Oryzias latipes: one gene and its partner. The protein of the gene in region 2 binds, or shares a complex with, the protein of the main gene of each other region. Links are inferred from orthologs where the notes say so. Each region holds a gene or a part of one and is shown on either strand. Other genes may lie near its edges.

Region 1 (3,919 bases), on a different chromosome or scaffold from region 2:
GTCCACATTCGGTCGCCTGATTGCTCTGGATCCTGGTTTTTATTGCAAGCTGCCCTCTGTGTGTCAGTAGAAGCAGACGGTGTGAAGGAACGGCCTGTTACTCTTGTCCTCGAACTCTTGCAGGAGCTCATCGATTTCGTTCTCCATGTCGTCGGTGTGCTGGATCTGCAGAGAGACCCAGGATGAGACAGAACCACGGCGGTGGCGGTCGGAAAGTGGGAGAAACAAACCGGAGAAGGGCCACTCACACACTGACACAGCTCACAGATGAGAAAGGCACCCAGAGTGGCTTCCTCGTGGTTGTCCTGAATGTCTACGTTGATCACGTGCACAGGCTGCATGGTTTCCTGCTCTCTCGAGTTCAGATCTGAGAGAAAAGACAAGATCATTTGGAAAAGGCCTTCAAAAGGAGAGACTCCCATCTTCTCCCTGGATCAGAGAATCCTCACCCTCCAGTACTTGGTCATAAACCCTCTCCTCACAAGTGATGACCAGGTCAAACTTCTCCTTGCATAGCTGGAAGCGCTCCGGCTTGGACTTGATGCGCTTGTTGCGGTCCAGCATGTGCAAAATGCCGTTCTGTGTATATCTGAAGGGGGAGGAGGTCAAGGAAACATGGAAGCAGAGGAAGAACACAGACGGTTCCTCAACAGCACACAGAAACCAGCCTCTCACGCAGCAAGCGTCTGCATTCTAAACCGCTGACGGGTCACCCCGCCAGCTGCAGGACACGCCTGAAGGTCAAGCGTCTTTTGGCGCCCCCATGTGGTCAACTCAAGTAACTACGCAACTCTGCCTTCGAAAAAGGAATAGAAACTTTGGAGAATAAATTAAAGATTTAATTTAAAGGTCACCAGAAATGTATTCTAACAATGTTTAACTGACAGGTATTGTTTTAAGAAACATGATCCTGTAGCCATCATCATCATTACTACTCAGTCCACTTGAGGCAAAATGTTCAGCCCAATTCTCTGTTTTAGTCTTGCAGAACCTCCAGTTCTTCACGTTAGAACATATCCAGAAGGAAACTGTTCCTGCAAAACAAATCTGAAAGATTTCCACCAGCTTTAACCAACAGATCCAATAACAGCTGGTTTCTTATATTTGAACAGTTTCCAAATCGTTGGCGAAAACCTAAATATTTTACAGGAACAAATAACACCTGATTAAATATTTAAAGAAAAGTTCACGTTACGTCCTTTAGGGATTTAAATCATAACTAAAAGTGCAGATTTCAGACTATGAAAGAACAGGTTTTACACTAAAATAATACTTTTTTTCCTTTTAGTTCCTAATTCCAACCAGCAGTCTGATGAATCCCAATCTGGCATGAATGAACATCATGGCAGCTGAAAACTCCTGGTTTTAGTTTCCCACAGATGAGAAGCTTCCAGAACTTTTTTTGCTTCCATTTTTATTCATTTTGCACTCCTGACAGTTTGCTCCTTCCACGCCTTACTCTGAGATTACTTAGCAAAGGAATGGAACCAGCAGCATATTTATGCCTAGACCCAAAGCAACTTCGAGAAAAACAAGTGCATAAATATTAAACGTGTGCTTCACGCGGCCTCATGACTCCCCGAGAGCACTTACTGCTGCTACAGCTGCTGCAGTACATGGCGATCCTCCGTCCCACTTTGTGTAAGCGGTTATCAGTCACACTTTAGGAATTTTTTTGTTTTTTTTGTCATCTGTGCTCTCCCAAAGGCACAAACTCCACACAGATACATGTACATTCAGATGCACCGTTTACTGGGGTCTCCAATAGACATGTGCACGCGCGTGAGGCAGCGGAGGGAGGGTGAGTGAGTGGGCAGGCGGGGATACAGTTCCTTGTCCTTGCGGACCAAGTCGTTGTACATCTGTTCATAAGTGGTTTTGAAGTCGTACACATTGGGCTTATCCGGAGCCGGACCAGGCAGCTTTACATGAGACCCCGTCCCAAACGATCGCACTTCAAATCCACGCTTACTGCAAAGAAAAAGAAACAGATTGGTTAGAAGGCAGCAGGCAACCACAGAACAACATTAATTTTGTCACTAGTTAGTAACCCTAAAAGTTTGCTCCAACTACATTTTTTTTTAGTCTCTGGGAATGATCAAAAGTAAAAAAGATTTTTTAAGAAATAACATTTTCTTTCAAATGATAACTAGTGGCATTGGTTGATTAACAGGTAAACTTGGATCTGTAGCTCCTTCAGAGCAGTGATTTTGCGTTACAAAATCCCCGCCTTGTGTTTACGGACAATGACCGACAGAGGGCGCTGCTGTCAACAAATGGGTCGGGGAATGAAGGAAGCTCCTCATGGGGCTTTAAGAAAAACTAAAAAAAAAAAAAAAACACTCAAGTTTTTTCCCCTATACAAGTTATTGCTGTAATTTGGGCGGTAAATAAAACTCCTTGAATCCAGCCGGAAGTGCGCAGCGGCGTCTCTAAACCCTGAAAAGCGCGTCCATTGTTAAACTGCGGTGAGGCCCGACGGGCTGCGCCGCCGCCGTCGACGCGCATCCCAACAGGCGGAAGCTAACCGCTCGGTACTGCGCTACTCTCGTCAGTCACTTCGTGTCAGGCTTCGTGTCGTCCTCCTCCCGGCGGCCATCCGTTACCTGAGGATACTGTGCGCTTCCATACTGCGGTTCTGGTTGCTCGAGCACACAACCGCCACACGGAGCGGGTGGCTCGGCATTGCGACTCTTCAACTGAAACTGAACGACACAAGTGTCTGGAGCTAAGACGAAGCAGTTACTCAGACTCCTGTAAAAAAACACAAAAACCAAACAAATTAAGCTCTTTCTGATCAGGTAAACTAGCTGGCGGTTTGACAAGCAGAGCTACGCCACGGCGGCGTCTCCCGTGGAAGCAGGAAGTTAAAATGGCGGAACTCCGCAAATTGACTGGGGCTTTATCTGTGATGTCATTGGGGGCGGGGTCTCCTACTGAGTTCAGTTGTGATCACGTGACAAACATTCAAAATGTTTTTTTGTAAACCGCACCTTTAACGTTTTTATTCTTGACTTAAAATATTACGGTGGATTATTATGACTGAACTTCCACTAAAACATAAGAATAAGAGAGAAAAGATCTCTACAGGGGAGTTAATTATTTGTATTTTTATTGGTCAATAAGTTCTTAAAATAGCTTTTATTGGTTTTATTTTTTGTTATTCTCCATGATAAAAGCGTTCTTTTTTTCAATTTTATGAGATTTGGTGAATATATACTAGTCTCCTGTCAGTAATTATCATGCATTGAAAGGGTAAAAAGTACAACTGATAATCGTTTTAGTTCATGAACAACCACGACTTTCAGAAAACCTTGAAGATTTTTATCAAATCTCTGTTTTTCCCCTAGATGTCAACTATGGATGGTTGACTTTTAATCTGTTTTAAAAGCCAAATCCCTTTTTGATTAAATTCTTATGGAAAATTACACTTTTGCCTTCTGTGCAGATCCAAACACTGATCATTTTTGGATTCAAAAGTCTCATGCAAGACATGAAACAGTGCAGTCATCCAAGTAATCCAGAAAAAGTCTTGAAATGAACAACATATAAATGGGTTAGGTAAAAAGCCTACTTCAATCTAAATTTTGGTTCCCAACAATTTAAATCAAATGGTTTTGGAATGAATTAGGTATGAAATAATCTTTTTTTTTTTTAAATCAATGAACAGGTACGGTGGGGCAGTGGTTAGCGCTCTCACTCACAGCGAGAAGGCCCTGGTTCAAATCCTTCCCGTTTGCATCTTCTCCCTGTGCATGTGTGGATCAGGTCCCACCTGAACATTTCGTGAATAAAAACAATTTTAAGCTAAACACAAGTTCAGGCCAATTCTAGATAAAATCATTGGCCGTCAACGGAGTTAATGAAGCAAAATTTACTATTTTCCATATTGGCCAAGAAATTAGTAATAAACATGAAG
Region 2 (3,919 bases):
TAAGAGCTTTTCCAGTGCACTCTTTCCTTCTTCACACAAAGTACCTGTTGATTCAACAGAATGTAATAAATCTATCCTGCAGTAAGAAAGATTTTAACATGCCTGTTTAAAAAAAAAAAAAAGAAAAAAAAAAGAGAGTTCTAAAATCTTTACCGTAGTGAATGTACGAATGGTCTTTGGGAACTTTGTCAAGGCTAATGTCAGCATCCTGGCGTTTGGGTACATCAGAGTCAGGTGTCCGCGGCGAGAGAGTGATGATTAAAGATTCTGTGAATTTGATGCTGTGTGTGCGAACACCATCATTGTCGGAGTCCAGCAAGGCCAACACTTCCCCTTTCATTTGAGTGATCAAGTCCCAGCATGCCTCCTGCATTTCTGACAGTGTTTTTGAGCTGACCAACCACTGGCAGAAAAGAAACAACAGAAGATGTGGGAACATAAAAACACCGTATTCCTATTATTTTAGCAGGAAATTATGCGAGTGACTTTAAGGTGCATACCTGTAATGTTACTTTATAGAGCTGAGTGAGTGTCAGAATGGCTTTCTTCACCACATTTACACTTTCATCCTTCAGCAGCATGTTTAGATTGGCGATAAGTCTAACAAGGAGCTCATTGTCCCTTTTACTAGTTGGGAAATAGATATAAAAAAAAAAGAGTTTCAATAAATATACATACATTTAAAAGTGTATAAGATGTAAAATGTTGACACAAACAACTAACCATGCTTCCTCTATAAATCCAATGACAAACTTTTTCACTTCTATTGATTTGTCGGTCTGAAACGCTATTATTTCCTGTAAAATAGAATTGGCAAGATACAAGAACATGACTGGGCCGATTTTAACTTACACGCTTACCATTCCTTTGCCATGAAAGGCAGGTGCTTACTTACATCCAAAAAGTTGTCAAGAAGGGACGGATCCTTGTTGATGATGAGCTCTTGAACCTAAAGGAAATTCAAACGCGTGACTTCAAATTCTTACAACCACCTCATCAGCACCTCAGTCGGTGCTGCTGTGTAGCAGTCATCTAAACTGCACAGATTTACACTACCAACCTGTTTGAGAGCAGTCAGCTTTTCATCAGTGGGTATGAGAGAAGCTTGATTCAGAAGCTCCACCACCTGAGAAAAGAAAGAACCAGAGTAAGTCTCTACAACGCTACAATAAGAGGCTAACCAGCCAAAAAATATTAGCATAATTTCTACTATATAGCATGTTTGAGCCAAATGAGGTGTTCTTAGCTATTAACCCCAGACAACTGCAAATGTAGACTACAGCCCCATTTAGATTAAACTGCAGCAATTGTAAATATTTCTTATATATTGCAATTTATCAGAACAAAATCGATGGCAGATTAAAAAATAAAGAATGTTTAGATAGCAAGATCAAGATTTAACTTGCATCACACAAAAAGCATTTAATGATTTGTTGTGTTTCTAGATGTATATTTTAAGACTTAAAATGCTTTATATGAACAATTTCAGATTAAAATATTTCTGTTTTAAAGTCTGCTACCTCCAGATTGTGTTGTTGTCCCTGAGATTGTAAACAAATCTTTCATCTTGTGCTAATTGTACAGACCTTTTCACTGGTGGTCATATCGACCCCTTTCGGAGTGTCCTCCGCCTTAGAAGAAATGTCCATGTTGCTGATGTTCCAGTCAGTAATAATCTTGCATGATCCTGAAAGGAAAACAGAAATAATAATAATAATTTAGAGCATACATAACAATACGAGAATTACGCATAACATCTATATTTTAATTCAAATTACTGAACGTTTTAAGTCAGACTACAAACATTCGTATGTATTACAGAAACACATATTCAATTGATAATACTTAAATAAACAAATTTCAATACGCAAGTCAGTATTTTTTTCTAACTTACCTACACGATTACCAGAATGATGAGAATGAATCCAGTTAGTTAGCTCGTAACATTAGGTTAGCCAAAACGATAAAATAATAATCTACTTTACTAAGCCAACTGCGTTATAGATACACTAACTCTTGTATTAAACGGGTAATTACAAATATGATCTATTAGACAACAAGATTTGCCTTGTTTTAGTACTTATTAAATATATGAATTAACTTTGCTAGCAAGCAAACAAAGCTACCGCCATATTTCATCGAAGAAGCTATGGTACGGTTCTTCTTCGGCTGTTTTCGGATACTCAAATAAAAGCAGCGCCTCCTGCTGGATTTGTGTGCCTCTAAGCTATTTTTGTTTATTTATTTTTTAACTATTAATAAGAACACTAGTATTGTTTACATCACATGGGAAACAAAATATGTGCCATAGACACATTTCAAATGTTTTTAATCGATCACCATTTAACTACAAGTCCCATGAGGCTTAGCGGGATAAGTGATGTCACCTGATGCTAATAACAAGACAAGGAAGTGCTTATGTTTACAACCGCTGGAGTGGTAAAATATTCTCGTTTAAAACGTGTTGTTTTTTAGAAACAGTAATGTAAAAGATCAATCGGACATCAACTAATGAAGAAAAGTGAATGAATACGCCTCGCATTCGGGTGAACACGCCGCTGTTATTGCTTTTGTTACTTTGTTTGTAGGACATTTTACTAGCTCTTAGTTAGCTTGGAAAACAGGCAGCTAAAACGTACCACTGCGAAGCTTGTTTTGGATACAGCTAGTAAAAACTGTGCTTATTTTGTTTTTAATATACAGAACGTCGTATCGTAATAAATCAGTTAATTTTACATCTTTAAATTGCAGACGGTTTCGTGCTCATAGTTTTGATTCTCATTGGGACCACTTATGTTTTACATTCATTGCCACATGAACATGCAACAGAATTTTTGTTTAAAGAGGCGGAGGTCTAGTAGAAAACACGCACATCATCACTTGTAACACGCGTTTATGAGTATTGTTGTTAGTGATGCTTTACAAGCGTATTTCCTGCAACGTGTTAGTTAAGTTAACCACGGTCTTCATTGGAAAAACCTGTAGGAAAGGCCTTTGACTGGTTTCCCAGTCTTAAGGAACTTTTTTTCATTTTTACCTTGTCTTAAAAGTCTATATGAATCTGTCATGGTATATTCTTATAAATTGTACCTTTAGAGCAATGTACAGTGGCATTGTTGCCTTGTCCCTCCAGCAAAGCATACAGTAGAATAAAAAGAGGGAAAAAATATCATATTCGTTTTCCCCTCTATGTCATGTGTCTGTTATAGGGTCTCAATGGAGTGGGTTTTCATCATGAACCGGATGAGCTCTCAGGGAAGCTCTACAGCCCAGCGGAGGAGGATGGCCTTAGGGGTGGTGATACTCCTTCTGGTGGATGTCATCTGGGTGGCTTCCTCCGAGCTAACCTCAGTAAGGACAGTCTGTCAGCTGTCTGTGGGTTGTCATTTAGTGTGTAACAAAACTCTACTGAGACAAACACACAAGAACGTCCTCACAGTATCTTAACAAAGTCTTACAGGAATTAGAGTAGTTTAAGTTCGAATCAGTCAAAGTTTGGCAAATCCAAACTGACTAAGCCAGTTCCTCGAGTTGACTCAAATTCTATTTGTAAAAAATGTATTTCCAAAACATCTGTATGTGCATTTCTTCTGGCTTTTTACAGCATAGCTTCAGTAAACATTAAAGATTTGACATTGATGAAACAGACAAAAAAAAATATATATGGAAGAATTTGGGTAAGGTAGCACTGAAAAAAGGATTTATTTTCTACATTTAATCTGGTTTATTATGGATGCATCCACAGTAGCCCTGAATGGGGATTGAGTTAACTACAGAAACCTCAATTCAAATGTGGTTGTTTGCCACTTAGTGAAATGAAAACCCTAATACCCATTTTCCTTCTCTTTATTCCATCAGTACATTTTCAAGCGTCAGGATTACAACAAACCTTTTTTTAGCACATTTACCAAGACATCAA

Evidence for each region.
Region 1: the proteins of sympk (region 2) and ssu72 are in contact, whole or in part, in a crystal structure (PDB 4H3K), measured with the Homo sapiens proteins. The link is inferred for Oryzias latipes from reciprocal best matches to the Homo sapiens genes SYMPK and SSU72. Residues at the interface, in NP_004810.2 of Homo sapiens: Val123, Lys127, Leu131, Gln135, Asp175, Asn176, Asp177, Gly178, Thr181, His182, Lys185, Glu188, Pro204, Arg205, Arg206, Gln207, Ser250, Ile251, Thr254, Thr255, Asn262, Ala290, Ser292, Gln293, Ser295, Ser296, Lys299, Asn300, Leu303, His304; in NP_054907.1 of Homo sapiens: Glu113, Tyr116, Asp117, Val120, Asn124, Glu127, Gln128, Glu129, Thr130, Cys131, Gln132, Pro133, His135, Asp167, Glu169, Asn170, Asp173, Gln177, Glu180, Thr186, Phe187, Leu188, His189, Thr190, Val191, Phe193.

The regions. Positions count from the first base shown.
Region 1 is NC_019863.2:1,925,730-1,929,648, forward strand, and holds the start of ssu72 (RNA polymerase II subunit A C-terminal domain phosphatase SSU72), read right to left. Parts: upstream 2,886-3,919; 5' UTR 2,687-2,885; coding exon 2,607-2,686; intron 1,972-2,606; coding exon 1,828-1,971; intron 590-1,827; coding exon 450-589; intron 368-449; coding exon 249-367; intron 166-248; coding exon 64-165; 3' UTR 1-63. UniProt on the Homo sapiens protein: Protein phosphatase that catalyzes the dephosphorylation of the C-terminal domain of RNA polymerase II. Plays a role in RNA processing and termination. Plays a role in pre-mRNA polyadenylation via its interaction with SYMPK.
Region 2 is NC_019879.2:16,692,057-16,695,975, forward strand, and holds the start of sympk (symplekin), read right to left. Parts: upstream 2,159-3,919; 5' UTR 1,895-2,158; intron 1,688-1,894; 5' UTR 1,650-1,687; coding exon 1,587-1,649; intron 1,127-1,586; coding exon 1,061-1,126; intron 950-1,060; coding exon 896-949; intron 798-895; coding exon 724-797; intron 628-723; coding exon 501-627; intron 404-500; coding exon 154-403; intron 45-153; coding exon 1-44. Other genes in the region: slc35f5 (solute carrier family 35 member F5), read left to right, coding at 2,381-2,439, 3,210-3,351, 3,859-3,919. UniProt on the Homo sapiens protein: Scaffold protein that functions as a component of a multimolecular complex involved in histone mRNA 3'-end processing. Specific component of the tight junction (TJ) plaque, but might not be an exclusively junctional component. May have a house-keeping rule.